Linked DNA regions of Caenorhabditis elegans. The gene in region 2 interacts genetically with the main gene of each other region. Each region holds a gene or a part of one and is shown on either strand. Other genes may lie near its edges. The genes, in order: rer-1 and lgg-1.

Region 1 (16,741 bases), 2.5 Mb from region 2:
TAGAACAAAAGGAGATAAGGAAGTTTGTGGAATTTTGATAAATGACATATAAAAATAATGTAACCTTTAAAGTTAAAACAAAAAGTGTTCAATGATAATGAGATTCAATAGAATAATAATTTCAGAGTATCTAGAACATAAATTCATAGAATAAATGTCTTGCAGCTTGGTGGTCGTCTACCATTTTCCTCCGTCCTTATATACTTTGTGTCAGATCAGAGTACGCTCAAGTAGAGGAAGGCGTGGCCTCCAGAGAACAAATTAATGTGAAGTAGCACGTCTACCATCATCTTGACGATCAGTGATGCATTTCTCATTTTTGGATTCTAGACTACTTTCACACGTGAAATTCAGAAAATCAGTTTGATAGCAGTTTATCTGTTTGGGTGGGCTTCTTGCTCAACTTTTTCAAGCTTTATAAAAGTTTTTTGTGAAATGATATTCCTAAATTGATAATTTGACATTTCTAAATATATTGTAAAATGTGTAAGTTTAGTGAATGTTATGACACAGGTGTTCATTGTCAAAACATCTAGTTGAAAACAATCAAAACGATTATGGTACGTGGAACTTATTGGGGAAATTGATTCTTTTTTCGAGAAATCATATGATCTCGAAATGAAAATAGGACTACCTTCACGTGATTAACTTATGGTACCACAGACTAAGCTTTTCATGTAACCATTACAATGCCTGCCTGCCTTGCACCTACGCATGCTTACTGTTAACTACCTTCATAAGATGCCAAAAACTATACTGCGCAAACATCGGTAGGTAGGCTCAGGCATACAGACATGCCTGCCTATGATGCTAAAGAACAAGCCAACGAACATCACTACTTGAATGTAAATATTTGCATAAATTTTTGCTTTGACTTCTGCTTTCAATTCAACTTTGAAGTTCTTGTTGATACAAAAATCTATTTTTAGAAATATATTCAGACATTGGCCTAAATTTAGATTCCTAAAAAAAAGTTTCAGCCTGCAAATGTGTAGTCGTTCCACAAATTCTCCAAAAACTCCACCTCTTTGTCCTCTAAAACTGGATGCCTAAAATAACTTCACCGATCGTTTTTATTGTTAAAACTTCCGGTGCATCGATGAAAGTTGACGCACGTCTAACACCTCCAACTTCAGCCTGCTATTAGGAATTAGCGTCATTGGTTGATAGAAGATCACAGTTTGCCGATCCATCACCACTTCTCTTATCACAATGCTCTCTAACCACCGCACGTGTCGGCGTGTCTGATGTTCCTCTGATCTATCATCAAGGCATCTGAATCAGATAAATAGCGGTCGACGAAGTCACGACTTCGCAAAGTTTTACACCATCTTCTATCAGTCCGATTCTTCTGAAAACAATAGAATGCTGCGATTCTTCACTCTCGTGGTTATTTTCGTTATTCCATGTAAGTCTAGAACACTTTTTGAACTTTGTCTGAAGTTTTATATTATTTTAACCAATAGTACATTTTATACATTTTATTTTCAAATCGAAGCTGCTCTAAAAATTCTGACAGTATATTCAATACTGTCTATGTTCTATTTAATTAAATTTAAAATTTCCAGTCATCCTTGCCGCACCTGAAATCGATTCCAATTCATCATCTGGTTTGGATGTTCTTTACAAGAAATTGATTAAAAAGCAAGAGAGCGTCAAAAACTCCCGTCTTATCGATTTTATCAGTAAAGGTGCTCCATCTGGAGTTGATGCTCCAATTCCATCGATCGCCGAATACGAGACTTTCAAATCTGATAAATCTGTAAACTTTTTGAGTGACGGAGCTGGACATATTGTTTTCCGTCAATTCAGAAGAATCCGAATCTCTGATGTAAGTTCAACTCAACGTTCTTTTAAATTTCAAGACAAACTTTTCCATTTTTCAGTTGCTCGGCTCCCAAATGAAAACCCGACCTGGACTTCGACTTTAATTTTTCCTACTGAAAATGCCACTTTTTCTAATAATTATGTACATGATCATCTTGTTTTTTAATACTTGAAAACGGGTCAATGACGAAAAAAACAAATGAAAAGAAACCCCAAATATCTGACAAATGCTAACAAAATATTGATTGCATAAAACTGACGAAATGAAGAATTCCTTCTTGTATCTTTTTACTTGATCTGTGTTGTTGGAAATGATAAAAAATAAACGAGATAAAAGAGAAATCAATAAGAAACACTGACCAGTGTGTCATTAAAAAAGGCTATAAAATGAAAATAAAACGGAATCTGCGGTAAACTATCAATTTATCTACGAAGTAGTTCAGTTAATGTTTTCAACTGAACATTTTTGATAATAAAACTAATTTCATCTGATCGATTGTCACTCGGCTTTAAACGCCTATATATCTTGTGGCAAATACCAAATAGTTACCATCTCACGAATAAAGTTTTGATAGTTGATATTATACGTTGCTAATTATGCAAAATGTATTTTGTGGCTCAGAATTGGTATTTTTGCAAAATTTGAACAAAAGTTAAAACATATATCTCAAAAACCTTTCTTAATGTTCGGTTGCACAATTTGATCCGATTTATTTTTAGATAGCGTATGCCCTCTACTAAACTTTACCAGCTCCTAACGTTATTTATCTATTTTTCAAAAAGCTGGTAATTTTGAAAAAAATAATACTAGATATCGTGAAATGCTTGAACCTTGAGATACCAATTTACCAAGACTATATCTGACTTGTTTGCACTCAAATTTCACAATATAAGCAGTGTGTTTAGGAATCAAAAAATCTTTAAATTTTTTAACTACTAGCGATTTTTCTTCCGCGTATTCCCAGATCATCACAGATCACAAAAATAACACCAAACACTAATTCACTTTTCCAGTTTCAGGCTGAATGTTCATATAAACAACCTTACAAATCAAAGTGATGCCTTTATGGTTCATAATTTCAGTCAGAAACTTGATTGGTCTGTAATTAAATACACACTCGGTACATCCTGGGTGCATATGGTAGACGCCTTTCAGGATGATAGAATGACAGTGATCAACATCGAAAAGAGGAACAAATGAATGAACAAAAGAAATTGCACGTGTAGCTGAGTATTACCGAACATGTGAATGAATTCATGTTTACATGAACATATGAATTAAGTTGTAAATAATAATATTTTGGAGAGTTTAAAATAAAATTACACAAAATACAACTGAGGTATGTCTCAAGAGGGTAAATACTCATTGACTCCTTGCTCTTTGAGGGTAGTCAATAATCTTGGAGTCAATGAGTATTTCCATGGACTGCTTGTATTTTTCCAGCTGATTCTCTCCTACATTCTGCTTATTGCATACTGGTTTTCATTTTTGTCAGTGAAAACTAAAAAAAAAGAAAGTATAGGGAAAGAAGTAAGACACAGAGTCAAACTCTTTTACCAAAAATCATTAATTTTTAGCAAACCAAATGATCAGGAATATCTTTTCTTCCTTTTGCAATATTTTTCATTGCAAAATACTTATCATTTGCTGAGTTACACAGAGTCAAAGCCATTTTACCGAAAATAATAAACAATTTTGAGAACTCTTCTGTTGTATTAGTCATAACTCAACATCTATTGCATTTCAAAAGAAAAATTTTGTTGAATAATGAGTAAAAAATATTTTGCTACATTTTATCAGTTTAACGTTTTTTGATGTTTTTATGTTCAGCAAAGTTACAGACCGTTTTCTGAAAAAATCCAATTTCGTCCATAAAACTCTTCATATCGAACGTATCGACTTGAAATTTTGAAAAATGATCACTTTTTTGAAGTCTCTACAATGTCCTAAAAAATCTTTCAAAAAATCCTGCTAATCTCCAAAATCGTCCTCCGCTCCAAAAAACGAAATCGGACTTTTGACTTTCGGAAAATGACGAAAAAATGAAATTGGGATATTTGGGTCGAAAAATATATTTTTAGAAAGCTGAGAACACGTTATTTACGAATATCATATTCATTTTTGATAATTTCGCCTTTGAAAAGACCTGAATTTAAAGCATGAACCTTAAGCAAAGAATAAAAGAATAAAATAAAATAAAAAGAATAAAAAAGAATAAATGTCACGTGAGCATCAAAATTAGCTTCATGATTTAATTTCAAGTCTTTTCAAAGGCGAAACAAATCAAAAATGAATATGATATTCGTAAATAACGTGTTCTCAGCTTTCTAAAAATATATTTTTCGACCCGAATATCCCAATTTCATTTTTTGGTCATTTTCCGAAAGGCAAAAGTCCGATTTCGTTTTTTGGAGCGGAGGACGATTTTGGAGATTAGCAGGATTTTTGAAAGATTTTTTAGGACATTGTAGAAACCTCAAAAAAGTGATCATTTTTCAAAATTTCAAGTCGATACGTTGGATATGAAGAGTTTTATGGGCAAAATTGGATTTTTTCAGAAAACGGTCTGTAGCTTAGCTGAACATAAAAATATCAAAAAACGTTAAACTGATAGTGTAGCAAAATATTTTTTATTTACTATTCAACAAAATTTGTTTTCTGAATTTCAATGGATGTTGAGTTATGACTGGTACAACAGAAGAGTTCTCAAAAATTTTTATGATTTTCGGTAAAATGGCTTTGACTCTGTGTAACTCAGCAAATAACTAGTATATTACAATGAAAAATATTGCAAAAGGAAGAAAAGATATTTCTGATCATTTGGTTTGCTAAAAATTTGCTTTCTAGACGCGTATTTTTCGAGATACGCTAGTTTGAAGATACACAATTTACAGAGATTTTAGGCAGTTATTTGATTTAATGAGGTTTTTTTTAATGATTTTTGGTAAAAGGGTTTGACTCTGTGTAACTCAACAAACAATTGGTAATTTGCAATTCAAATTGTTGCAGAATAAAGAAAAAATATTTGTGAGCATTTTGTTACTTTAAAATTTGTTTTCTAGAAATGTATTTTTTAAGGAAATAACAGTTTGAAGATACCCATTTTAGAGAGTTTAGGAAGTTTTGGTTTGCAATTTGCAAGGATGAATACATTACAATTTTTATCAAGTTCTGCCAAATCTAAACGATCTTATTCTACTAATTAGAAGTTTGATTTGAAATTGGAGAAAAACGAGTATTGCATTTGCAAAGTATATGTCACAACAGTTCATTTCCATATACTTTAAAAGAAATGCTCAATGTGGGACCTGCTTAAAGTTTCATACAATCGATTTTTTTTTTGAAATCTAGAGATCATTATATCAATTATATTGCATTCGTGTTTGATGTTGTCTTCAGAATAGACTCATCAATTGTTCAATGATATCTCTTCTTTTTTTTAAAACTACAAACTAAACTAAAATTCGTCATTTTTGTGGTAGGCTACAACGAAAGTGCTTGCTGTAAGATATTTTGTAGTTAAAGACGAGATAAAAAAGTTATAATACAGAAGTCGTAACAATACATGTGGCGCTGTTTAAAACTTATATAATCTAGTCTGAAACCGTATATGTAGCAACTTTGTTTTGTGAGTTCTATAATTGTTAACACAACAGCTTCAACCCCATTTCAGCCCTTTTCTCAAATTTTTTCCAGAAGCTTCCGGATTTTTCTTGTAAATTCAAATTTTCGGTAGTCGATGAAAATTTATTTTGAGTTGTCCATATTAAAATAATTTTTAAATAATTGACTTTTATTCGTGTTCAACTTTAAATTACTGAAAATCAAGAATTTGGGTGCATCTGTAGTACATTCTTGGTACACAACTTCCTTCTTCACTTATATATCTAGTCTTCAAACAAAGAACGCTCATTGGAAAAAACTGATTTACAACAGTCGCAAGACACCGAATTCTTCGTCAAAATACGATCAGCAGCGACATATCACAAGGTTTCAAGAGATCGAATGAACTGAATGGACCGTCTCATCCTTCGTCCATCATGTTCCATTGAACAATTTAGCACGATACAGCGTCATAGAAGCCACAATCTTGTGATTCTCAAAAAGAGGAGGGGCTAGATGCAGAGAACGATTGAATGACGAATGTGAAGATACAGTATCTGTATAAAACCTTCATAGTGGAAATTCGCTTCCCGTTTTTTCTAGACACATGAATGATCTACTGTCTTGCTCTCTCGTAAGATTATGGAATAAGTTTTTTCCAATAAGACATTGTGTTTACTCTGAAAAAGCGGTAAAATTATCTCAGTTGATAACTTCATAAAAAATAAAAAAATATTCAAAATGGAGTGACACCAGTAGGGAACTTGCATTTAAAATATTCTTATAGTACATTTGGCACTTTTCCAAAACTTTGCTGAACATTTTTTAGAAATCTAAAACTTTTTGTAGTGTTTATCATGACATTCGGTTATTTGGAATAAAAGCATTTTTCAAACAAAATACATGTTATAGTGGTCCTACAGATGCAAAATTTGACGAATATATTTATTTGGTGTTAGGAATGAAGTTTATAAAGTTAGGTCACAATTGTAGTTTGTTCTTAAGTAGTTCTAGTATATTTCAGTTGTTTTCTCTTGATGGGATACTGAGGTGGAGTTAGTGGAGGGATACTGTTGGGTTACTGTAGTGATACTGTGGTAGTATGATTTTTGAGATTATATCGTTTTTTTTTAATTTCCAGAAATTTATTCACTATGAAATGATCAGAACTTATTATGAACATTTGATAGTATCAGTATACTTTTCATAAGATTAATTATCCGTTTAAAATATGTTTAAAGCAATAATGTTTTTATATACGTTTCTGTTATCGGTCGTTTGAACAATTAACCATGATCGATCTTCAATCTGTACTAAATCGTTTGCAAGCTTCGAATTGCTTATTTGTTCAGCCACGTAATTGTTCATTTGTTTAGTTTCTGTGTGAAAAATTCAATTAGTTTTGAAGAAGAAATAAAGAAAAATAAAAACATTTAAATCTGTCAAAATCTTCACGAAATCATTTATCTGAAGTCTCTGTGAGCAATTCGAGTGCACCGACAATTAAATTACATTCTCAGCGATTTTTGAAAATGTAAAAGCTCTAAAAAGTAAAAGCTACTTCTTTCCGATTTTTTTCAGAATTGAATGTTGCAATTATCAAATCTTAGTATTGTTTCCACAAACTCATCCCAACATTATCATCTTGAGAATTCATTTCATCAAACATAAAACACGAATAAAATCACATTTGGTAAGAAGACGCGCAACAAATCAAGCAGGTCGTTTTTTTATTATTGGAGCAAAGACAAAGCTGATTTTGGAAGGAAACGTTGTGTGAAAGAGCAATAAACTATTAAAAAATCAAAAGGGAAAACAGGAGGAAAGCAAATAATTTAATACGGGGACTCGTTACTTTGAGATGTTTCAAAACATTGGCTTTTGAATAAATAAGTCATATGTGTTTCTATAATTCTTTCAAAATAACAATTAGAATTATGAAACTGTTTTAATATTTTACGAAAAACTTTAAAACAAGACTAAGAACGACAGATTAAGAGTGACCCGTTTCAACCGACGACAACTTTGCCGGTGTCTTCCTTTCCAGCCATTCGTGGCTTTCCCACTGTGAATGGAATGTATCGATATTTGATCATATGCTGGAATACATATTATTTTGAAAAGAATGACGAGTTTAAAAAACATACCATAATCTGTCTCTTGAGAGTGAGGAAGGTAAGGATGAAGAAATACATGACAAGAATTGGCCAGAATACTGGAACATCGAAGAATTCGAAGAAGGTGCAAGTGATTGCGATCAGAGTGGCCTTCATGAAGGAGTGCCTAGAAAAATAATATTTTGAATGACTTTCTCCGTTTCAAGATAATAAAGACTAACCAAAACTTAAACTCTGGCAGACGACGCATGAATGGGCGGAATTCGTCGTTTGTTTTCGATGGAAGAACTGGACCATCATCTTCATCCTGCAGAAAATAATGTTTACTTCATAACAAAATAAAATAACAAACCTCGAACTCTAAAGCTGGATCAATTGATGGAGTTAAAAAGAGCAAGAAGAGATTCAAATAGTAGATACCGACAGCATATGCAACAATGTAGAATCCCTGAAATCAAATTAATTATAACGTGACTTGAAGAAAAAAAAAATAACTCGTTGGTGATGAACTTTTTTTTTTGAAAAATTTTAACATATTTTCTATTTGTGCTCACTTACTTGCAAGAGAATAATTCTAGACGCAAAGAAGACGAGCGAGATCAGAGCGATAACCCATCGGAATGCAGTATGTGGCGTGAGACGATCGAGATAGTATTGATACTTCTGCAACATAATCAATAAAGTCACAATTTGCATTCTGATTAAAATTAACTCACCACTTCCAAACTGTGAAAGAAACGAGATGTTACACCTGGCCTGTCCCGAAGTCCGTCGTCCATATTACCTGATGAAATTGATAATGAACAATTGAAAAATTAATTTTTAAATTAATCAAGAATTAATTGAGAATAAAAACTTCATAGACGTGATGAAAATACGTGAAAAGTTGGGAAATATTGATTTCGATTAAAAAAGAAGTACACGTAGAAATATACGCAAACACGGTGACGGCAGAATGCACACTGTCTCTTCAAAACTTTTAAGGATGAATAAATTCAATTTTCAAGTTTTCTGTTATTTTTTGCTATTTTTTCATCAAAAAATGAAAATATTTTATATAGCAAAATATTCTGAAACTACCTAAATTTATTTCTTTGAATTGTTTTGAGCATTAATGGGAATTTCACAAGATTGATTCAGTTTTGCGAAGTTTTTGTTATCGAAAGTGTTCAAACTGCTATAGGGATATCCTAATGTATTTCTATTTCTATTTATATTCTATCGTGATTACATTTGGAAAATGATAGAAGAGTACCTTATATACCACTATAGTTACCATTGATATTTGAAAAAAAACTTATTTAAGGCATTTAAAAAATTGCAAGCTGGTTGGCTACCGTAATCTTCCTTTTCGAATCGCGAGAATTATTCTTACTTTTCGGTTCTTTCATGATACAATATTAGTAATGTTCCAATATTTTCAGATTAAACCATGATTGACATCGATAGTGTCAGTCTACCAATTCTGATCGGGGGATTAGTTGGCTTTGTCACTGTGATGGGAGTAGCAATAATCTACGTAGCAAAGAAGGAGCAACAAGGAGAACAGGAAGAAGTGTAAGTCATTAAAATAATGAATTGAACGTTTTTTTAATGAAACATTTCAGTGACGTTGTAATGGATGAAGTGACAGAGACGATTATTAGCGAGGAACCAGTGAAGAAGAATAAGCACCAACGAACGAATGATCAATGGAAAGCAAAGGAACCAACATTCGTTCATCCATGGAACGTATCAGTATTGAAAGGACATAAAAAAGAAGTGACAGATGTTGCATTTGCTTCAGATGGCAAAAAGTTTGTATCAATTTCCGGAGATCGTTCGGTTATTCTCTGGGATGTTAGAGACTTTGAGAACAAGGAACACAAATGTATCAGACAAACGGTTGAATATGACACTCCAACTCGTGTAGTATTTGCTCCGGATTGTAAGAGTGTTGTATTTAGTGTGAAAAGAGAAAACAAGGTATACAATGATTGAATTTTGATCAACACATTCATAATTTTTCAGATTTGCGTCTACAAGCTCGTTAAGAAAACCGAAGGATCAGGATCCCATCATTTTGTGCATATTGACAATTTAGAATTTGAAAGAGTTCATCAGGTTGATATTCAAAATATTGGCATTGCCGGAAACGGTAAGTTAACTGCGAAAATTGTTTGGCAATTTATTTTTAATTTTCAGCGAAATACCTGATGAGTGCAGCACTCGATAACAAAATTTGTCTTTACGATCTACGCGGACAACTTCTACAGTCAATTGATGCTAAAGTGAGCAGTCTATATGACTGTCGTCTCTCTCCTGATGGTCGTTTTATCATTGTATCAGGATTCACACCAGATGTATTTGTTTTCGAGCCAATTTTTACAAGAGATGGAACATTCCAGAGTGCCAAGAAAGTGTTCAGTCTCAGTGTAAGCTACATTCATGATTTCCAAAATTTCATCTGAATTATTTTTAGGGTCACCAATCTGGAGTACTTGCTGCTGCTTTCAACAACTCATCGACTCGTGCGGTCACAGTCTCCAGAGACGGAAAATGGCGCATTTTCGACACCGATATTCGCTATGAGGCTGGGCAAGATTCCAAAATTTTGAGAGAGTGAGTTAAAGAAAAGCGAGAAACCGAAATTATATAGCGGGATAAAATGAGAAAATAGAATAGGTGATTGCTAGGCAACGAAAGTGAGTAGACGTCTATAGCGAAAGAGAGGCGAGTTGATGATAAAATTGTGTTCTGTTAAGCACTGCGTCTTATTGAATTCACACTAGAAAGTAACAATTTTTCAGGGGAAGCTGGGCTCCTCTGCATGCCGCCACAAGTGAACACGTGCGATTAGAAATGAGCCCAAGTGGTGACTCATTTGCAGTTTCGTTCAAGACAGATTTGAAGGTGTTCGCTTCGGAAGACGAAACCAAGGACTATCCGGAATGTAAGACAAAATTGATTGGATTTTTCAATATCAAACATTTATTTAAAACTTTTTTCTAAAATATCGGATTTTTTTTCTGTTGAACTTTCTGAACATTGTCAATTTGCTCATTTTCGAAAATTAGTTTAATTTTAGAACAGTTTAATTGTAAATAATCCACGATTCTTGAAAACTGAAACCACATTACAAATTTTCAGTGAAAGACATCTGCTCGACTACAATTTCATCGATTGCCTATTCCTCTGACGGAAAATATATTGCAACATGTGGAGACAAATATGTCCGTGTCATTCGGAATGTTCCAGAGTGGCACAGCAGAGTGGTTAAACTGAACCGAGAGCTTCCAGAAATCACACAGGAAGGTGCTCGTCGCCGTATCAAAGAGCAGATTGATGAGGCTCAGGAACTTCTGAAGCAATTCGAAAAATAATTTATTTTATTCGTGTAAAGTGCCAATAATTCCCTCCTAAAGCGGTGTTATGTTTATTTATTTATTTCTTCGCATCATTTGATTTTATAAATACGTGTACGTAAACTTTATCTAATGGCTTTTCCCACGTTCTCTGTTATAAATCCCGTGAAAATTATATTTTGTTATGTTTGAAACATTTATTTAGGAAATTACTCCTTTCTAAATAGATGAGTCTTCCTCCTCGACCGTACGATAACAGACCCCCAACGGGAGTTAGAGCGAAACCTGTGATCAATCTCAATATAGAATACACTTCCTGCAATGATTCAGTGGCACCTGCATGTAGCACACGTCCGATGCTTATCGAGAACATGATTAACCAGAGAAATGTCAATATAAATGTTCTGGAGGGATACGATCCTAAGTCGAAAAGTGTTATTGTAAGACATTCCATAGTTTAACACGGCAATTCTTCAATAATTCATATTCAGAACCAACATTCGATCTACCATCTCTATGAGTTTGAATCTAAAACAAGATTTCTCGATCGTATTCCACGTCCACGAGTGAGCCGATTCACCGAACTCGTAATTGGATATTTATGTAAAAGAAAAAAAAAACTCATTTTTATTTTGCAGAAAACGAGATTTCTCTGTTGTCGCTATGTCCTTTGTGCAATTGATGATGTGATGCAAAAGCAAAAACCAATGGAATTGATGGCAATTCGTTTGAATGGAGACATTTACATTGGCGCTAATAAATCTATGGATTTGTAATATAACGATTTTAAAATTTACTAAACGATTGTACTCGTTTTAGGCAAACTGACAAGAAGACCCAAGAGGCGGCATTCGGTGGTTTGAATTTCGCCATGAAGGTTACGAGAGAATCCGATCAAAAAATACTCAAAAAGCATCACAGTGTCGTCAAGCAATTGCGAATTGAGAACACGAGAAATTCAATGTCAATGTCAATTTTCGTTTCAAGTGTCGCCCGTGCTTTTGATCAACGAGGAAACGTTGTTGAATTGAAGACAGTTGGCTCGAAAGTTATGGGAAAAGTTCAGAACCTTTCAAGATTGAAAGCTAGAGACTGGTGGCTTCGAGCTTTGTTGAGTGGAGCTGACCGCATTGTTTACGGTCTGAGAATGGATAATATGAAAGTTAATGAGGTAACACATTTCAGTACATTCTTTTTAAAAAAACACAATTTTACAACAGATCCACGAAGCTCAACTCACCGACTTCACCAAAGGACACTTCCGTTTTGACGGTGCCAAGCTTTTCTCTGAAATTTTCAAAATTTTCAGTACAATAGACAAAATAATCGGTGCTGAAGGCGATATGTGCATGGTAATTTAAAATAATTTTCATTTAATTATGAAGTTTTATAATTTTTAATTATAGGTAAAATCAGATGGCTCCACTCCGATCAGTGTGACATTGACAACAAGAGAAAGCCTGAAAAGAAGTCCATTCTGGTGACCTGGCAATGAACAACGCTACAGCATTTATTACACACGTGCATCATCATATCGGGATTCCCAAAATTTCATTCGATCTAACTAATTCTAAAAACTTTATTTATTAATGTTCGGGTGATATCACATGTGATCCCTTCCTGTGTTTATACTAAATTTACTTGTTACGAGTATTTCTAATGAATGATCTCTCTCTCTCCTGTTCTAATTAATTTTAAAATGCTCCTGGAAATTCTACTTGATAAAGACGCTTCCATGACATTTTTCAAATTTCAGCCGATTATTTGAAACAGTTGATAAGAAAATGTGTATGAACCAATGTTTGATCTACGCTCACGCTTTGCTCTGAATCTGAAAATTAGTTTAGTTTTAATTTCTCCCCGTATTCGTATTAATATCTACACTCATTACCCCATTTCTTTGTGACATGCTACAATTTATAATAATAATAATAGCATGGAATCTGGCAATCGCAACAAATATTTCACCTGCGAAAGATGGAGTTATGGAGTTGAAAATGGTTCATATCGTAGGTTTTATAATGTTTTGGAATCTAGTGTTACGATTTTTGAAAAGGTTTGGAGGCATGGAGATAGATCACCTACGACTACATTTAACGTGGATCCATTCCAAGAGGATAGTTGGACATTTGGAGGTGGAGGATGGGGACAGCTTTCACCGGTAATGATTGTTCATATGGAGTTAATATAGTTGTTTTGGATACCTTTCAGCTCGGAATGAATCAACATTTAACTCTTGGAAAGAAGCTTCGCAATCGTTATGTCAACACAGGAAACTCCACCCACAACTTCTTACCAGCAGTCTATGATCAAAAAACAATGTACATACGATCTACGGGAATCAATCGAACTTTGATCTCAGCCACTTCAAATATGCTCGGAATGTATGGACAAGACGGCTACGGTAGCTCGGCTGGAACTGATTTTCCAGATGCTCAGGGATGGCCACGTGGCTTCGTTCCTATTCCAGTTCATACCGTTGATTATGACAGTGATCATGTGAGATTTTGGGCTATTTGAATCAATAAAAAATTGGAGAATAAAGGTGAAGTATAGAAAGTATTTTACATCGCTCCACGCAATAATGCCCAAATATCGTAGTCAGGCTATCTTAATTTTGGAAGTGAATAAAACACATTTCTAAAAGTTTTATTTTTTAATTGCGTTTCAATTATTTGTATTCAAACTTTCTAGGGAATCTAACCTACAACAATGCTCGGAATTACTCAAAAAATCCGTACTGTTGGAAAATTTGGCAATTTACCAAAACTTTGAATTGGTGTGTCTTATTATGAAATTTCGACATATTAGACTATTGTACTATTTAGACTAGATCGGAAACTTTAAAACTATATTTAATCAGAAGCAGTTGTTTTAGATTGGAAATATGGACTGCATCTGCCCACGTCGTGAATGGCTCTGGAATATTGCTCAACAATCGGACGAAATGAAGAACTGGAGAAGCTCAGTACCAGTTTCATCAGTAATCGACAAACTAACGTCACTGGTTAATCAAACATGGAGTCTAGAAGATTTCTGGACTGTCCCGGATGCCTTATTCATTGAACAAATATATTTTAATGAATCACTTCGAAAAGAGAATACATGGTTCAATGATGATTTTTATAGTCAAATTGTGGCAGTAAATGATCAAATTTATATGTATCAATACGGAGTATTCAGTACGTTGTTTTTCTAAGAACATTGTATGTAATAATTTTTCAGATAGTACTATTAATATGAACAACATGAATATTGGCCTTGAGCTTCTGAAAGTACGATCCGGACCTCTTATGAATGATATGATGGATAGAATTAATAAGAAAAGTGATTGTACATATGGAAAAAATACACAAGGGTGTGATTGGATAAATGGACTCAAGTACTTCGTTTATTCAGCTGTGGGTTTTTTGGTAGTAACCTTAAGAAGCTTCTGGAAATTTTTTAGTTGTACATGTTATTCACAATTGAATTATTACATTAAACATTTTTTTTCAGCACGATGAGACCGTATACGCAGTGCTAGTAGCTCTTGGCATCGAACGATTTGCTATTAAACCTCACGGATATCCACTTTATTCCGCTGCCGTATCGGTTGAATATTGGAGAAATACTACTGATAACGCTGACTATTTTAAGGTAGGTTTGTTCGGTAAAGCAATATTGTAATATCTAAGTTTTGAAGCTGGTTTACCACAAACAATCTGGAGATGACTTTACTGTGATGACGAAGGAGATTACTGGATGTGGAGGAGATTACTGTTCAATGAATGTGTTGAATCAAATTGCAAACAATTTAAAACCAGATCAACCTATTGATCAATGGTGTCTCGTTACCGGATCCTCGAACTCTTCTTCACTTTTATTTTTGATTATATTCACTTTCATTTCAAAATATATTTTATTCTAGAACACTATATGATATTCATAAATATTTATTGATGTATGATAAATAAAATACACTTTTTTCGCTTTAAAATTAAAATTATGGCAATAATGTGCGTAGGTAGGTTGTTTCCTTTTGAATGGATCTATCGTCTTCTCTTTCTGCAGCATTGGTTATTTCCACAAAGTGAGAATCCAGTTGAACAATTGCATTGTGAACCACTCATTGCACATGGTTCGACTTGCAACGGGCAGTTCTGTTGACAGGCGTTCTGGCAAGCTGGCAGACAGAATTCAATTTGGGTCAGAAGTTGAGTTTTACATTGATCAACGCACTGATTAGCACATTGTGGAGCACATGTCACAGTTTCTTCCATTGGTTTTTTAAGAACAATTTCCAATTTGAAAGTTGGTTCTGCAGATTCCTTCACGATCTGAAAAAAAACAACGATATTTTAACAATTTGCCAAGCAGAACTCTATCAGCTGATATTTCAGTTACAGTACTTCAACGCAAGATGATCTACAACTGTCAGTACAAGCTGTGCTGCATTGTGGAACACTTTGGCTGTTCTGTTGAACACATGAAGTTTGGCAAGATTGGGTGCAAGCTGGCATACAGTTGTTGTCAGCCTAAAAATCTTCAGTTTTTGCAGAAAGTTCTAAATTTTCTGACCTGTGGAATTACAATTTCAAATTGATAATTTTGAATACACTTTGAATCACAGACAGGTTGACAAGCTGGAGCACACTGCTTGGAGCTCTGATCATTCATTGGGATCGTGAATGTGTATGTCTCCATACAAGATGGTTGGCAAGCTGGTTGACATTGTGGCTGGCAAGATGGCGTCGGGGGTGGAGTGGTCATTACTGGAAGTTTAAGAGTGAAGCTTATGCATTGTGGATCACAAGCTGGTTGGCATTGTGGAGCGCATGATGGGGCTGCAGTAGTCATTGGAATGGAGATAGTGTAGGTAGTTGCCTGAAAAGAAAAAAACTATGGTGGTTATTATAATTTTAATTTATGTTTATTTACAGTTCTAAACTTTTCCTGTTGTGTTGTTTTTTCTTCAAATTTTATATCATATTTACCTGCTGGACACACTCTTGAGTGCAAGCCGGTTGGCATTGTGGAACACAGGTCTTTGTGATTGGAACGGTTGTTTGAACAGTGATTTGTTGTACACAAAGAGGTTCGCAGGCCGGTTGACATGCTGATGGACAGCTATTTCCTTGATTCCCTTTGGAGTAACTTTGTTGTATAGTAACTTGGTATTGAGACTGAATGCAAGATTGCTCACAAGTTGGTTGACAAGCGGGAACACAATTATACTGACGTTGCTGTTTCTGTTGAGAATTCATTTGTTGTACTTGAATCTTGTAAGTTTGAATGCATTGTTGATCACATGATGGTTGGCATTGAGGAATACATTGTGGAGAAGAAGTTGAGGTTGAAGGGGTTTCATCAATCATATTAATTTGAACCGAGAAGTTTGGCTGAGCAGCTACACATTCCTGAGTACATGCTGGTTGGCATTGTGGAACACAAGAAGACTGTGGGATGTACTGTTGAGACAGTTGCTGAGGTTGTTGATAGCTGTTCTTGATCTTCAGCACAATTTGAGCAACAATACATTTAGTCTCACAAGCTGGCTGACACTCTGGGACGCATTGTTTTGGAAGCGAGATAGTTGTAGTAAAGGTGTCAGTACAAGATGGAAGACAAGCTGGCTGACACTGAGAAACGCAGTGAAGTGGGGCTGGAGTCGTCGTGTAAATAGCAACACATCCTGGATCACAAGCTGGTTGACAGATTGAGATGCACACTTTGGTTACTGGTGGAACTGTTGAAATGCCTGAAGACCCCGAAGAAAGATACTGATAAACACATTGTGGCTGGCAAGCTGGTTGACAGGCTGGAATGCATGTTTCAGGAGCACGAGTTGCTTGTGTTGCTTGAGAAGT
Region 2 (16,441 bases):
CATCGCCGACCAACACCACCAATAATATAAATAAGGTCGTAGTTCCTTTCAACATTGATTTTGGATGGAAGTGTTCAAAAATTACCTGCCGACTTGAATATGGTTCATAATAGGACATTTTGGAGTGAATAATTTGTTGAGAGCAAGTATACAAAGGGAATGTGAATGTACAATAAAGGTAAGAGATTGGTATGAATAAGATACTCAGACAAACAGAAAAACTGTTTATTCAAGGCGGAATTGAAACTCTGAAGTGGGAAACATGATGAGTCGGATGAACAATGATAAGGTAATCAATGGACCACACACTTTGATTATTTTAAGGTGTTATAATTTCATGAAATGTCTGATATAATTATCAGTGAAAATTGCAATTTTGGAATTTGACTGAGTTCAGCAAAAAAGTTTTGATTTAGTTTCCACTAACCAAATGGCAGCGCGGTATATTTATACTTCTATACAAAGTTTTCTAGAAAAGAACTCTGGTCAAAAATATAAAAAGTACATTCGATTTTAAAATTGGGAGTGGGTAAACTGGAATTTGGCGAAAGGTTTTCGAACAACAAGGCAATTTTTATTATTTGTGGAATACTTTCCTGAAGGATTAGAGTAAAATATTTGTTGCTGTCAAAGTTGGGGTGAGTCTGATTTTTTTCACGAATTTGAGTGAAGTGGAATGAAATTGGTTTTTATATAGAGTTCAAAAGTCGAATGCTGGATCAGGGACTAGTAAATTCATTTTTTGGGCGTTTGCAATTATACAAACCTCATAGAAAAATGGATTTCCAAAAAATCAAAACATATTAAACAAGTTTTAAAGAATTGTCTTGACTAGTTTCAGTATTAGTAGTTTCAGAGATTTCTGGTATTTATTGAGTTTTACTAAAACACCATTTCGTGGTTCAGAAATTCGCAACTTATATTTCTTGCACCATTCTTGCTCTACTTTCACAGCTCATTTCGTTAGAAACTTTTTTGACATTAAAAAAATTTGAGTGGAGCAATGACTGACTAATGAATGCATGACTAATCGGAAAATTTTAGGTATTTTGCAAAAAACTTATAATAATCATATGAATATACCAAAAGTTTTAAAAATTCAATAAAAAGTATATAAGTTAAACAAAGAAAATGTTTCGATATGAAGAAAAATTCAATAGAAACTTCTAGATGAAAGAGCTTTTCATGTGATAATTTCAAAATGCCTAGTGAAAAGAAACACAAACCATAAAGCTTCAAAAATATGATCAACATCAATATATTGAACTAATGTGGCTGTGAAAACAAAAAGTTCTCAATTCCCATAAATGACTCATTACTTGTGTAAACATAGAACAGCTTAAATGGAAGTTTGGAAATGAAATACATCTGATTCAAAACTTAATCACCGATAAGCTAGGGAATTGGTGTTAGAGTACGGTAGCCGTACATTTGAATGACGAACATTTTGAATAGTGAAAAGGAAAGAAATGAATAATGGGAAAATGGAAAAAAAGAAAATGGAAAATGGAAAACAGAAAAATAAATAAAAGTGGAAACTCAAATACAGTCAAAATGAAAGAAAACTCGAGAATGCATGAAAGTAAGAGAGACGCTAAAGATAAACAGTACTGAACACAACAAAATAGAATTGGAAAAGAGCAAAAATGAGCACTTGTCCACAAATTTTTTGTTTGGTAAAAGTGAAAGATGTTATGTGGGTGTGCCTGATACTCTATGAATCCAACACTCTCTCACCAGTTATGCATGACCGCGACCCGCAGTTTGATGTTTGTATGAACTGTCCGGGAGGCCCTTCTTCAAGGAAAAAGGAACGAGAGAAATTAGGCATAGACATGAAGAGAAATACTTCCTTGAAGATGTGATTTGGGTCAGAGGAACAAAATGACATAGTGACAGACAGTGGGAGGAACGTTTGGGGTCTCCTGACTGTCTGAACTACGATAAGGATGAAACATATGATGATGGAATGAGTCAGAGCTCAGGAATAAAAATAATCGAAAATATTGAAGAAATTAATCAGAACTTTACAGAATGCACGAATGTGCTTGGTAATTTCAACAACGAATTGGTTTGTATTTAAAATATTTCAAAAGTTAGTTTAAAAAGGGTGGCTTTGAATTTTTGTCATATAAATGAAGAAATATAATTGTGTTTTTAAAAGGTATTAAATTTTTAATGTATTCAATGAACAGTCATTGCCATCAAAAATTTACCAAATTATCTTTTAAAAATTTATGTTGTTGTTCAGTTCAAGATGTGCTCCATCTAACTCATCCAAGTTATCGTTCTTTCCCTATTAGACTTGAACTACTTTACTTTGATGACTTGTGTCTTGGTGGTCTTGATTTTCAACAAAAAATGTTTAACACCTAAACATAGAGAATTATTTTGCACACATTTTGTCAGTTGATAATTTTTTGATAAAACTGAAGACAACCAAGATATACACTGTCAAAGTAGAAGGAGGGTGCATCTGTAATAGGGAGACTACGGTAGGCCATTGTTGTTCCAAATGCTCAATCGACTTTGGAATTATCACATAGTATCTAAACAAATATTCTGACGAACCATGATACTTAAATATAAATAGAATCAAATCCGATATTGATCCTCTTTCTTCATCAATCAATTTTAATGAAAAACAAGTCTACTTTCCCTTTCCTATTTTGGGTGTTGTCGTAGAAGCTCTATTACTACCAAATGTTGGCAATAAATAATGTAGTTGATTGATTAAAAAACGTGATAGTTCAATTATCAAATATAATTGTTTTTATTTCAATTATTCCAGAACCTACCATACTGCTCATTTCAATTTCTTCGTTCATCTTTTCCTTTTTCTCGTCTCTTCTCTATTATATAGATTTATGTCTACAGCTAATATCAGTCAAGTTAGAATATTTTGTGCCTGTGTTTGTGTGATTTGAAGTGGGAAGAAAACGAGAAGATTGATGAATAAGAAAAAAGAGGTTGAGAACGACGAGACGGGACTGAAAAGTGGGCGGGGTCTGACTACTCTTCGAGTCACCGCGCACCGAAGAAGACAAGGTGATTGAATGTGTGCAGCTGCTATCGTCATTTTATTAATTTTTTTTGGAAAAGTAATAAGCTGAAAAGACGAAAAAAATCGTTAGAAGCTTTGGAATGTGAATGAAAGAGAAATAGAAACATTGTCAGATGGGCGGAAACGAGAGGCAGGTGGTGTTGTGACGCAAATGGAGAAGAATGGAGCAGCAAAATCCAAAAGGGAAATAGTGAATAAAAAGAAGAGATTGAAGATGTTGTCAAGGCAACAAAGACCGGATAAGGTGTGATGTACTCTTGTGGTCTGAAAAAGGGTATTTTCAGAATTATGTTGTGGTTTCAAAGAGTGTTTGCTTACTATGTTCAAGTATCTATAGATCTCTAGTAGTCATAATTATTTTTTGAGCTGTTAAATATCTTAAAACCTTCGTAGAAAGAACAATTGTTTTCTTGTACGTCAGCTATGATGGACAAGTTAAAATCTTTCCAACTGACCAATTAAACGTTCACACATCATTCCCTTTGTTTACACTGACTTTTGAAGAGAACAATTCGTAATTGATATACTGAAAAACAAATGAAGAATCGCATGGAATCAATAAATATATTTATTATTGTTTACTGCCAATTTCCATACAAAAGAGAAATATTTTAGGATCATAGGAGAGATGGGTATTGCAAATGGATGTTTAGATGGGAATGGCTTCAAAATGGTTGAACAAATCGAGAAAGATGCATTGCAGAGAATTATGTCGGCAGATTCGGCTTAAGCCTTCCACTTGGCGACGGTGGCCTTTGGATCCTTTCCATTTTGCACATCGTTACGTCCATCCTTTGTTACTTCAGTACCGTCTGGCTTGACGATGATGAGAGCTGGGATTCCGGAAACTCCGTACTTGGTGGAAAGTTCCCTGGAAAAAACTAGTTAAAGAGGATTTTATAGAGTTATAACTTACTTGATGGCATCATTTCCATATGGGATATGGTACCAATCACCGTGCTCGCTCATATACATTTTCAGATCACTCTCGCTACGATCGAAAGAGACGAAGACGACCTCGAACTCATCTTCAACCTCCTCATAGAAATCCTTGAGAATTGGTGTGAAGCCGCGGCACGGTGGGCACCAATGAGCCGAGAAGTAGAATCCGACGGCCTTTCCAGCTAGAGCTTCAGTTGCGTCGACCAACGTTTTGTCGCGTTTTTCAAGTTTCACTCCAGCCAAAAGAGACATGTTCTTTCCTGAAAATATATATATTGGAGAATCAATATAAGAGTTGAGAAATTGATAGAATGGGACAAGGAGAGTTTAGTCCTAGGGTTTTTATATGAAACTTTCGGAACAAAAACTAAGGAAAATGAGGATGATGCGGAGGATGAGTCAATATCTCTATGATGAAATGTATGAGGAACATGTGTTGTTTTAAGATCAACAAATATCTTTCACTTTTAGTGATGTTGGTTTTGAATATTTTGAACTAGTTTTCCATTTCATTATTGGAATGAATTGTATGACAATCTACAGTAAATTGAATTCGTGATGAAAAGAAAGAATCAAAACGAAAAACGGGGGGAGTTGTTGGTGTTGTCAACACACAACACTCTGACAAAACTGAGAGAGATGTTGGAGAAGGGAGGAAATAGTTTACAATAATTGGAGATTTTGAACTGGGTCGCTCGAAACGAGTCTTTTTCTCGACGCTCTAAAATCTGCGTCTCAAATTTTGCGCACTTTCATATATTTTCTTAGCATTTCTTCACTTTCTAATAACATCTGGCGATCCCGATTTTCATAAGTTTCTCCACTTTTATTTCTAATATTTGGTCTCTACCGCTTTGAAAATATGGAGAAGTTCATAGTAAGTCTGAAAAGCTAGGATCTACGTTTTTCACGTGGTTTTCCAAATCAAAAAAATTTAGGATTTACTAGAGTTTGGCTCAGCGGAGCAGAAACGAAAAATGGGTCGACCATCAAAGATCCCTCCTTTCTCACATTATGACGCGTATAGAAGATCTGACATCGACTTTTTCATATCATTGTTTTCTGGAAGAGAAGAATTATACAGTCCGTGCAAGAAGAATAGTGATTTTCGACAGAAAGCGTTTTATATTATAGAGAAAAAATGTGGACATTTTCTTGCAATGAGGAAAGGTTAGTTTTTAGTTTTGAAAATGTGATTTACGAAAAGAGAAAGACTGTTTTTGATTTGGACTGTAAACATGTGAACAGGAATAAACATGTTTATGAACACCACATCAACTTACAGGTAGAAACGCCGAAAAGTTATGGTTATACCTATTCAATGATTTTGAAAAAATGATTAGAAATGGTGGTGATAAGAATGATGAGAAGTCCAAGTCTATAGTTCCGTTCTACGATTGTCTACAATTCCTTATTCCTTATTTGGAAAAAACAGACAGGTATGAAATGATCTAGATTTCCGAAACGGAAACCTTTTTCCAGCTTGTCAAAATTGACATTAACGACTTGCAATGCAGAAGCCGATGATCAACAAGTAAAAGCAAAAAAGCCAAAGATTGAGCATGAGCTATCAGAAGACAAGTTGAATGGTCTGAACTGTGATTTAAAGTGTATGTAAATTACAAGTAATTTTTCAGATGACTGGCTTCAAAAAGTTATAGATACGGTTACATGTCAGCAATCTACAAGTTGTACAAGTATACAATTGAATTCTTCGGCTCCTTCAACCTGCTCTGCAAAAACACCTAACTCAACAGCAAATCTACCAACTTCTGAAAAACACGCAGACATCATAGCCTATGTAACAAACTTTTTAGAAGATGTGCCAAACGACAAGTTGATGCTTCACAAAGTTCGATTATTCCAGTTTATCGAAGAAGAAAAGTCTAGGTTGAAAGAAGAAAGTAAATAAATTGAAAGGAATGATAAAAAAGAGTATAGATTGGAAGTGATAGTCTATGACTAGAAAGCGAGACACTCTTGTTTGTTTATTCATGATCATGGTCTCTCCTATATGAAACCACTGAATTTTTGATCGCAAATACTTTTTTCATGGAATGAACAGGTTACTACGAAATGCTCCGAATATCTTCTGATTGTGTGATCTATATAAGAAACATTAGTGAGCATATAAAAACGGTATCTTAGTTATTGAAAAATTTACTTGAATGCTAAACTGGGCTTATACTTTCGACTGACTTTCATCGTACACTATGGAATTGATATCTAAAAAATAAGATGACGTGGTGGTTGGTTAACCAACCATGTTAACCAACCAACCATGTACAACTAATCAAAAAGTAAACGTATAATACCCGATCGCAACGAAACAACTTTCGTGTTTATCAGGTCACCTGCTGAGAAACTTGCCAAATTTTTCAGTGTTTCACTACCTTTTGGGTCGACCGACATCTGCGCGGCACTCGTTGCTGGTTGTTTCGAATTCGAATTCGCCGTGTTCCCCATCACAGTCAAGTAATGATGGGGAAACCGATGAGATAACGAATACACCGTTCAAAAGGTAAAGGTCACGTTTTCGATCGAATTTTGCGATCAAATTGAAAAAAATAAGAAGAAGAAGAGATGGCAGAACATACACGTGATGAATTCAAAAAGGCAGAAAAATAGAAAAAAAAAGAGTATAAACACCACTTTATGAATAAAGCCATGCCAGTTTCTAATAGCAACGAAGGGAAAACAACGAGAAAATGGATAGAGGAAAAAGGGAAAAGGAGAAGGTGTAATTATAGAATCGATTTGACTGGGAAGCAGCGGCGACTCGTAGATTTACAATAGTAAGATGTAGAGAAACGAGACTCTTTTTTTAATCTCAAAAATATGTATTTAATTATACATCTTGAAAATTTTGCAGATTTTTTTAGAGTTAGCCTACAGTACTCGGTCTCGAAACGGCCAAAACTATTTAAATACCGTATCCGCAAGTATTTGTTTTTAATTTTTCATGATCTCCTACAATTTTCCAAAAATGTATCGGTTTTTCCTTTAAAAATGTGGAATTTTAAGTGAAACTATTACAACAGATACAGGTGAAAATTGCGAAACACTTTTGGGTGCGGTAGCTGAAAAGTTTCCATCGTGCCGAGACCGGCTACCGTATTTTCGCATTGAAAATCTCAAACTTCTGCAAATGGGTAGTACCAAAATTGTGTCTCGAAAATGATAAAATATGCCAGAATCGAATCAAAAATGATTCCTAAGTCAACGTTTGAGCCCTCTTATGACATTTTCAGACGATGACAACTAGAATAAACTGTCATTTGACAGATGACTAATGGATACAAAGAGCCTTTTTGCCAAAAGTGTGTCACCATTTTCGAAATAAAATTCTCATTTTTCTCTATACTTTGTTCAGAAATCTACAATGATGTTTACGTAATACAAATGTGACGTCAATTCTATACAGATGAAAAAGTGATTTCGCAATGTGTATTGCTAACTGTTGGAGGTATTCCATTCGCTGGCCGAAAATAACGATGAGCATGAACATGAATTTGTTTGTGTCTTCTTCGTTTATTCATGAATCAAAAATTTGAAAGTAATAGCAAAAAAATATCAAAATCCGAGAGAAAACATGATTTTCTGGGAGGGGAGAAGAGCAACTTCGTAGACAATAGTTTGAATAGAAGTCACTACTCGGAACCGTCATACGAGAAAAATGAGAAGAAAATGTGAAGGAAATACAGAATTATTACAGAAAATGAGAAGATTTTTTTAAAGGGGCTTTGGGTTTCCATTAGAAGTATGAAATTTCCATTGTACAAGTATACACATTCGTCGGCGGATAATACATGACACTTTATTCCTTCTTTTCGACCTCTCCTCCATACACACTTTCGTCACTGTAGGCGATGTAAAGGAACAAGTCTTCCTCGTGATGGTCCTGTAATAAAGAAAAGGGTTAATTAAATGAAAATAAACGACTGGTTAGTTACCTGGTAGAGTTGTCCCATTGTGGTCATGGTTTGTGGAATGACATTGTTGACAAAGAAGAACAGAGCATCTTCTGGACGAAGTTGGATGCGTTTTCTGATGAGGAAGTAGAACTGTCCAACAGTAAGATCGGATGGGACCAAGTACTTCTTCTTATCCAAGTCATGGAGCTTTGACTTTGGTGCTTTCTCAACAATCACTGGAATACGGTCTGGGTACTTTCTGCGGATCTTGTCTCCTTCGGCACGACGCTTCTCAAAGTTGTTCTCCTCCTTGTAAGCCCACTTCATTTTGATTCGAAGGTTAGTGTGAAGAGAAGGTTACTGGAATAAAAATACTTTAAATCACAGAAAAATCATAAAAGAACCATGAGAGAAGAAAGGTGTAACAAGTGAGAGTGAATGAAGGTGACATCACATGGGTTTTGAGAGATTGACCGATTCGATAACACATTGCGAAATCTATATAAAATTGACGACGAGTACTAGTAAGGCAAAAAGAGCATGAGCAAGAATGGCCCGTGTGCAAGTGAGAGAGGGAGTGTGCGCGCACATCGGTCATATGAGAGCGCGTAGACGCAGGAGACATCCTATTGATTTTCTATGTTTGTCTGGCCTGGTTTTGTTGAGATGCAGAGAAACAGGACAAGTACAATGCAGCTGTTTAGAGGTTGTCGGGGAAACTGTAATTCTGGGAAGACTGAAAGTCGATCGATATATTAGTAACATTTATCCAATATTCACTAGTATCCATAACCAGTTTCTACGAATATTCTTAGCGCATTGTTCCAAAAAATTGAATTCTGAAAGACTTTAGTAATCAACTATTAACTAGATTAATATGACCGTTCAATAAATAATTTTGGTATGATTTAGCAATATTTTTAGATAGAATTGTTAAACCGTACATTTAATAGTCAAACTTGTGAAACATTTCTTAATTTCAAATTTCAAATCTAAAAAAGATTTTGATTTGAAACCGGTTTTTTAAACAAACCAACTAAAATTACAAACTTTTAAATAAAAAAGTACTGTCGCTACCGACGTCGCCAGAAAGTGAAAGAAATGGCAGAAAGTCGCAAAGAAGAGCGAGAGGCAAGACTGAACACACCAAGACGAATGGCACTAGCTAGAAAGAGAGAGAGATGAGAGAGGGGCGGAGACGACGAGACACCACGACTCAACATCATGTGACTGTGTCATACGGCGGCGAAACGAGACAGCAGGCAGAGGAGAGCAAGAGAGTATAGGGAAACATTGGATGGTTTGAGAGAAGTAGAGCAGCATGGTGTAGAATCATCGGGGTTTCAGGTGCCGATCGACAGATTGTTTGTTCTTAGATTCTTTTGATAGGAAATTTTAAACGTTAGAAATGATCAAAAGTGATAAAAGGTTAGAATAACAACTAGACAACAGTTGGTATTGAGTATGTTTTGCTATTAAAGGAACATAATATGCTAAAACTAAACGAAATAAACGATATATAACTACTATATCCATACAATAATATGTAGGTGGAAAGTGCATTAGCGACATAATTCTAAAATAAAGAGTTGGAGCAATGAGAGCATCATCCACATTCACAGCTGTCACCGTGACGTAGAATGTAATGAACTAGAAGAGGGCATTCAAGACCAGCTGGTAAAACGCTAGAACTGACAATATAAAACAAATCAATTAAAAGATCTTAAAGACATTAGGGTGCACTCCATGTAATCGATCAGAAAGGCAAAAATATAAAAAGGAACAAGATAAAAATTTGCCGGAAGCAAACCGAGAAAAAATATTAAAAAAATAACCAAACAATAAACCAAAGGTTAAAAATTTATAGACAGTCAATAGTGACGAAATGTTTTACACGGACAGAAGTACAATAATCAGAATAAAGCTATAAATATAAATAAATAAAAAATGATAGCTAACATGGAGAAACAATAAAAATATGAAAAACGCTTTTTTCTTTGAACCGTAAACAACGAAAATCTAAAAATTGCCGAATAAGTTCGCTTGTAGCCCAGGATGGAACATTTGGAAACTTGCTACTACGAAACATCGAAATGTCAGAAAAAATAAAAGTAAAAAAGTTGTAAAAAATTATGATATGCCTAGGAAAAAGTTTGAAAACTCGTCGATATCCGCCTTTTTAATTGATTTAACAGAGATCAAATGTCGATTTACTGTCGCCTTGAAAGTGCACCAGTTCGAGAGAGATCTGTAAAAATTAGTTATGAGACTTGATCTGCAATATGACAAACTTACAACTTGCTAGCTGTAACATATCATCAGGTTTGAACTTCGAAATGTCTGGAGCACTGAAATTGGAATATTACATATCCACGATAAAATCTTTTCAAACCCACCTTGAAGTGCTTGGCATTGGTTTGTTAATCCTGATAATGGCTTCTTGTGCTGCGCCGACAAGCATATTCATTGATTGTGTTAACGGCATATTGTACTTCGCGATCAATTCCTGAACATCGTCAACAAGCCCCTCAGGTAACTGGCTGGTTTTGGCCTTTTTCCAATGATCTTCTAATGGAAATTCGTACTTTCTCTTCCTGTCGGCACTACCATTTGCTACAGGTTTAGGAAGTGATCGATTCGAATCATCAAGAATAATAGTATCATCACGTTCAACAACTTGAATCTCTTCATCGCTATCTTCCTCACTATTTGAATACGTTCTTGGCTCATCACTGTCTTCTCTGTCATCATCATCCACATCGACACCATCATTATCATCATCATCGTCAATTTCTACTACACTGTCGGATCCACGACTTCGAGCAGAACCAGCACCTGCTGAAGATGTCGTTAATTCTGCCCATGGAATACCAGCGATTGGTAATTCTGTAAAAATTTAACTTTTTGAAGAGCCGATCTGAAAAATCTTACGTGACGGCACCGGGAGCGGAGCTGGCCTGAACGGATTCGTAGCATTAGGGCCAAGACGAAGAGGAGCCTGAAAGTAGATGTCATCGTCCTGGTCGGTGTCAGATGATGAGGCAGGATAATGCTACAATGTAAACTTACACTCAACAGGTCATAAAGGGGCGGCAAACTCACTTGCGGTTGTCCTCGATACATGTGTCCCATGGTAGATCCTGAAAATTTTATTTTGAAGTTTTAAATTAAAATAATATTTTAAAAGCATATTATGATAAAAAATTAAATACCAAAAACTCGGTCGAATGGTGTAAAAACCGGGAATCGGCGCGACCTGTGGTTTGATCTATTTTCTTCGGGTTCAAGCTCAATTGAATCGTCGACCGTCACAACATCTGGAAGATACGATTTTTTGAAATTAAGTACAAATATGATTCTACCATTTCCAGCACTTTCACCTCCGCGATCTGTTCTGATTCGATATGTTATGGCACCGCACCACTCCAAAAATGACTTTCGACTGTTAATCAAAGACTTCAGCTCAGCAATAAATGCAATTACAACCCGACATGATACAAGCCCATTCAATGCTGCATCAACTTCTCTCTGAAACATTTCAAACTTATGGTAAATTTGTTTTTGAACTACCGCATTAAGATCACGCGTTCCACGATCTTCAATCATACTGAATATTCTATTGATAATCTCTTCGTCTTTTCCCTCGGCCACATCATGAAGTGTATAAAAATACCAGCTATTTTCATTGTCGACACGTGGTTGCTGAAATACTTTTCATTAGAACACTTTTATGTTTTAATGGGAAACGTTACCGTCTTCGCCGGAAGGGATTTCAACTCGACGCTCAAGAAACTGTGTAAAACTGCTCGATAGTGATCGATATTATCACGGAATTCAGTTTTCGACAGAGAATTAGTTGCATCTGGCAATCCTTCTGATATAACTTGACGCTCATAGATCAATCTTCGGAATGCGGCTTTTGAGACAATTAATGCTTTTGCTGCTCCATGATCAATGTCGTCTCGGAGCATTTGCAGGGAGTTCAATTGTGAGACACACAGTTGTTTCATCGAGTTCAACTCTTCTAATCGTGGCTTCCTTTTTTGACTATCAGATCTACTTGATGTTGCTCCACTAAAAGAATGTTCAAATACAATTTGTATATTACTCATCGAAAACTCTTACATGATCTCGTCAATTTGGTTCATTAGCCTTCGACAACTTCGAATTTTTCTCGACACAATTCTCTTCTCAGTCACAAGATCTTCTGAAGCAGTCGCTGCTGGCTCTCCTTCGGATTTTATTTGCTGGACGGTTATTTTCTCATCGGTTCCTTTCCGTTGGATGAAGCTAACTGGTGTTTTGCACATTGGACAGAAAGGACCGGATCCCTTCGTGAGCCAGCCTACAATGCAATCGTAGCAAAATTCATGGCAACAATCACTCAACGAGGTTGTATCGATAATTCTGAAATAAATCAATTTTTAATTAATACTATTGAATGAACTTACTCATTTTTGCATACCGAACACTCCTCTTCCGGTTCGTCGATTTCTTCTTTAGACTGGGGACTTTCTGTCATGTTACTTTCTCCAAAATCCTGAATTGTATTCTTTTTCAGTGGTGATTCACTTGTGCTCGGAGAATCCATTGAGCTTTTCAATTCTTTTGAGATTTGAAATATTCCTCTAAAAAATAAACTATCGGAAATTTTTTAGTTTCTCACAAATATTTTTCAGTTTGCGCAAAATTTTCAAGTTTGAAAACTCTAACTAATTTTTCCCATATTCTGGTTTGAAATTTCAGTTTCTCTTTTAAAAATTAAATTAATAAATTAAAATTAATATCAAAGAAAGAAGGTAGTCGAAGTAAAATAAAAAAGCCTAAAATGTTGATAAAGATGGAAGCAATCAAATAGATCTCATTGGAGCGCACAAGCATAGTTTTGAGATATTTGAATTTTTATAAGGAAATTTCCCTTAAAAAATGGAAAGAACAGAAACCGGATACAGAGAAAACACTCACAAATAGATTATTATGAAAAATTGGAAAAAAAAATAGTTGGGTGCATCTTTTGGAATTTTCTAGCTTATAGTAAGTTTTGTTATTATTAGATTCGTTGCTCTCAAACAAAACATCTTTCTCAATAAAACATAAATAATAAAAAAACACACAGAAAATACCAAAAACCTGTCTATAAAACAGTTTTCACAAACTGATTCGCTCAAAATATTATTTTAACATTTCATTAAATATTTTAATAAAGTTTTTGAAAAAAGCAGAACACATAGAATGAAAAAAAACGGGGGTTGAGTAACATTTGAATGTACATGTCACAAGGTACAACTAAACAGTGAAGGAAACGGGTTGTTTAAGAAGCGAGTGTACATTTATCCATACAGATATAATGTTTAAGAAACTCGAACAAGATTATTTTTTTAAATGAGCGTATTTCTTGGATATTAACGTCTATCACGACGAGAGTTTGTTGATCTTTTGGCTGGTGGTCCCTCGGGTGGATGCCCGTTTTCGGCTGCTGAAAAATCAAATTTCGGTAAAAAACAATTTAAAGTTAGAAATTTACCTCTTCTTGCGGATCTTGTTCGATGAGCAACCGAAATAAAGTCAAGTCCATTATCAGCATCCTCCTGATTTATGGTTGCAACAATTTCCGCAAGTGATCGAGATTCTTCGTCAGATATAGCGGGTGCTGGAGTTGCTGGACGAGGAATTTGTGTCGGTGCATTGCTTGTGCTAGCATGTTCTTGAATTGCTTGATGAGTTTGCTGCATATTTTGGTAAGCTCTGTTGAAAAGTTGTTCCACTTCTTCGATTCTTTGCTCCCGTGGTGGCTGTGGGAAATGTCTTCTCTCCAAAATGCTTCTGGTTCGGTTTAAATGCGCGAAATCATTACTCGTCATAGTTCGCGGCTGATAAACAGGTATACTCGTAGATGATGTAGTGGTTGAATTTAACCGTGGCGAGAGCATAACCTGAAACAATTTTGATGATATTTTATGTTTATATATTTTTTAAACCAACCAATCCAGAATAACCATCAGAAGTGAATCGTCGACTTGTATAATCCGACGATGCAGGGTGACGGAAGAGACTCTGAAATATAGAAAATCTTCAAGTTTTACTTACTATTAAATTAAATACATTCACTTCTTTATAAATTCTCAATAATACTCACCGAAAGCCCTCGTGATCGATTATCAAATTCCCGAACTCTTTGTAGAAGTCGATCTCTTTCGATTTCGCGGCGTGTCTGGGGCCGACTCTCAATCGGCGGAATCTCTTCGTCTGTCGGACGATCGGAATCTAAACGTCTCATTGCAGATCTCAGCGTCATATGACTGCGAGAAGTTGTCGGTTGCTGTGAAATAGGTAAAGTTCTAGTAGTTTGTCCAAATGTTACAGGCTCAACTGGAACCGGTTCTTCTGTAGTTGGATATCGAACACGAACATCTCGATCACGCATCATGTGGTAGGCTCTCATTGACAGCGGTACCCGATTTGGCATTTCCAGCATTTGTTCGTAGTATGCTCGTGCCAACGATTGTTCACGTGGATCTTCGTCAGGCATTGGCGTTGGAACTCTTTCTTCTGGCGACTCAGAACGATCACTATCATCATCGTTATTCGTGGCACGGTCCGTTCCATCAGTATTTGAAGATTGACGAAGAAGACGTCCTGCCACATAAGTATCCATCCAATCATTTGTACTTCCGATATCACGATGAATTTGATTGAAGAGTGCTTCGAATCGGCTTTGAGGATCATCACGTCCCATAGAGTTATAATCAAAGAAGTTACTCGAGAAACTATTGTATATAGAATCATAGTAAACTTCGTTGTAGAATTCTTCGATTGTTAACTTTTCAATTGCAATAATTGCATCCAAATGATCGTCCAAAAATTGAATATGAACTGCACTAACAGGCGTTAGAATTTCATTGAGTTCTCTCTGAAAACTAGCAGTTTTAAATTAAATTTCCTGTAGACGTACCCGGAATAAATGATCACCCGATGGACGACTCAGCATAAGCTCGTAAATTTGAGCGGCATAGCGCTGTTTTTGCTGCATATCGATGCAGGAACCTAGAAACTTTGTTCTCCATTTGTGGCCGGCAAGTTTTGGTTGCTGAAAAATTCTAAAAATTTCAAGAAAGTTCAATAAATTTTCTTACATTTTGGAAAGGTATAGCGTCGAACTCAGCTATCAAAAAATTCGTGATAACATTTCTAAAACGATCCGGTTCTCTGGCAATATCAGATGGCTTGATTTTAACTTTCTTCAAATCAGGATACATTACTTTGACTTTGCTTGTGTAAACCATTCGACGAAACGTAACCGTATTGAAAACAATTGACCTGAAATCTTTTTTTGGTAATATATTCATTCAATTAAACTGATACTTGTTGATTCGAGCCTGCTCCGTCCTAAGATCCGATAGTGATATCTCTGCCTTTTGAATATGCTGTGTTACGATAGCGGCTAACTCAATCAATGCATTCTGGAAATAAATATTTAGTCTGTTTATATAGCGTGCTAATTTTTACCTTCAAGATTTCATCTGGTTCCTTCGATTCTTCGATACCGCTTCTGAAATATAGAACGTTTTGTTGGAAAAGCCAAGCAAACTCACATTTCTGATGATAACAAGCCTACAACCTTGTAGGAATGCATTAAATTTCTGACAACTAGTCTCCTTTCGCTGAGAAGTTGAACTCGATCTGTAGGCGTAAGTGACATATGCCCGCTTCGATATTCTTTGATTGCAATCCTGAAACAGAAAATTATCGTAAATATAAATAAAATAAAAGTTCTAACTCTTTTTGTCCTAGTTTTTGCTCTGAAAAATCATACGACACTTTATCGACATCCTTGCGACACATTGGGCATGAAGGGCGTAGAGATTGGCAGACCCATTCAGAAATGCAGGAAAAACAAAACGAGTGATTGCATCCTTCGATGCGACATTCTTGAGAGAATCTTAATTTTAACAATTAGTTGTTTGTTTGAATTTATATCCAACCTCGTAGATAAACAGATTGTGCACTGCAATTCTTCAACCGGGTTGTTTGAACTTGTTGATGGAGATGGTATGACAGGTTCCACACCACTGTCCCCCATAGTTTTTCTGAAAGAATTTTTCTTTTATTATTATCACTCATTATAGTAGAAAAATCAATAATGAGCAGTATGACTTTCTTTTCAGAAATGAGGCAAGGACGACCCGAAAATACTGATATCGATTTTCCACTATGACTTAAATGATGAATCATAGCAAGCTATCGCTTAAAAAATAAAAATGTCGTCGGATTTCACTTCTAGAACGATAATATTAACGTGTTTCGAGATTTGGCTATTAATTTCAGAAAAGATACGATAGCATGCTTCCGTGGTATGAAATATCACTTGCAGATTGATAAATTCGTATTGACATTGTTGAAATTAAAGCCAAAAAAGTCGATATATCAAACCACATGAACGAATTCCCAGAAACTAGAGAAAAACGAGAGAGCGAGGGAAGAAGCGAGGCGTTGGCATCGAGAAATGCGTCAGCAGGTTTCT

Evidence for each region.
Region 1: of lgg-1 (region 2) and rer-1, changing one suppresses a phenotype caused by changing the other (phenotypic suppression), as found in Caenorhabditis elegans (one study listed by BioGRID).

Annotation. Positions count from the first base shown.
Region 1 is NC_003280.10:8,802,961-8,819,701, reverse strand, and holds rer-1 (Protein RER1 homolog), read right to left. Parts: upstream 8,333-16,741; 5' UTR 8,328-8,332; coding exon 8,265-8,327; intron 8,212-8,264; coding exon 8,107-8,211; intron 7,997-8,106; coding exon 7,901-7,996; intron 7,856-7,900; coding exon 7,770-7,855; intron 7,715-7,769; coding exon 7,579-7,714; intron 7,531-7,578; coding exon 7,441-7,530; 3' UTR 7,069-7,440; downstream 1-7,068. Other genes in the region: F46C5.10 (Neuropeptide-Like Protein), read left to right, coding at 1,366-1,408, 1,569-1,831, 1,887-1,931; F46C5.9 (WD_REPEATS_REGION domain-containing protein), read left to right, coding at 8,981-9,105, 9,156-9,513, 9,559-9,685, 9,733-9,962, 10,010-10,149, 10,338-10,480, 10,678-10,910; F07H5.10 (Decapping nuclease), read left to right, coding at 11,120-11,332, 11,384-11,479, 11,531-11,664, 11,712-12,063, 12,113-12,244, 12,299-12,376; pho-13 (intestinal acid PHOsphatase), read left to right, coding at 12,800-12,901, 12,949-13,053, 13,104-13,391, 13,771-14,074, 14,118-14,293, 14,391-14,531, 14,578-14,802; appg-2 (Activated in Blocked Unfolded protein response), read right to left, coding at 14,924-15,211, 15,284-15,409, 15,453-15,758, 15,869-16,741. UniProt on the Caenorhabditis elegans protein: May be involved in protein transport along the secretory pathway.
Region 2 is NC_003280.10:6,339,440-6,355,880, forward strand, and holds lgg-1 (Protein lgg-1), read right to left. Parts: upstream 8,281-16,441; 5' UTR 8,248-8,280; coding exon 7,960-8,247; intron 7,908-7,959; coding exon 7,824-7,907; 3' UTR 7,521-7,823; downstream 1-7,520. Other genes in the region: C32D5.7 (uncharacterized protein), read right to left, coding at 86-118; C32D5.8 (protein-disulfide reductase), read right to left, coding at 3,791-3,935, 3,981-4,266, 6,400-6,472; txt-18 (transcellular chaperone signaling (x)cross tissue), read left to right, coding at 4,869-4,883, 4,945-5,176, 5,292-5,445, 5,489-5,595, 5,644-5,918; putative RING finger protein C32D5.10, read right to left, coding at 10,131-10,168, 10,216-10,268, 10,317-10,806, 10,852-10,918, 11,023-11,060, 11,133-11,237, 11,283-11,448, 11,491-11,622 and 3 more; C32D5.11 (RING-type domain-containing protein), read right to left, coding at 13,323-13,396, 13,445-13,853, 13,903-13,974, 14,057-14,830, 14,873-15,007, 15,054-15,237, 15,283-15,380, 15,427-15,469 and 3 more. UniProt on the Caenorhabditis elegans protein: Ubiquitin-like modifier involved in the formation of autophagosomal vacuoles (autophagosomes). When lipidated mediates tethering between adjacent membranes and stimulates membrane fusion during autophagy. Recruits lipidated-lgg-2 to maturing autophagosomes.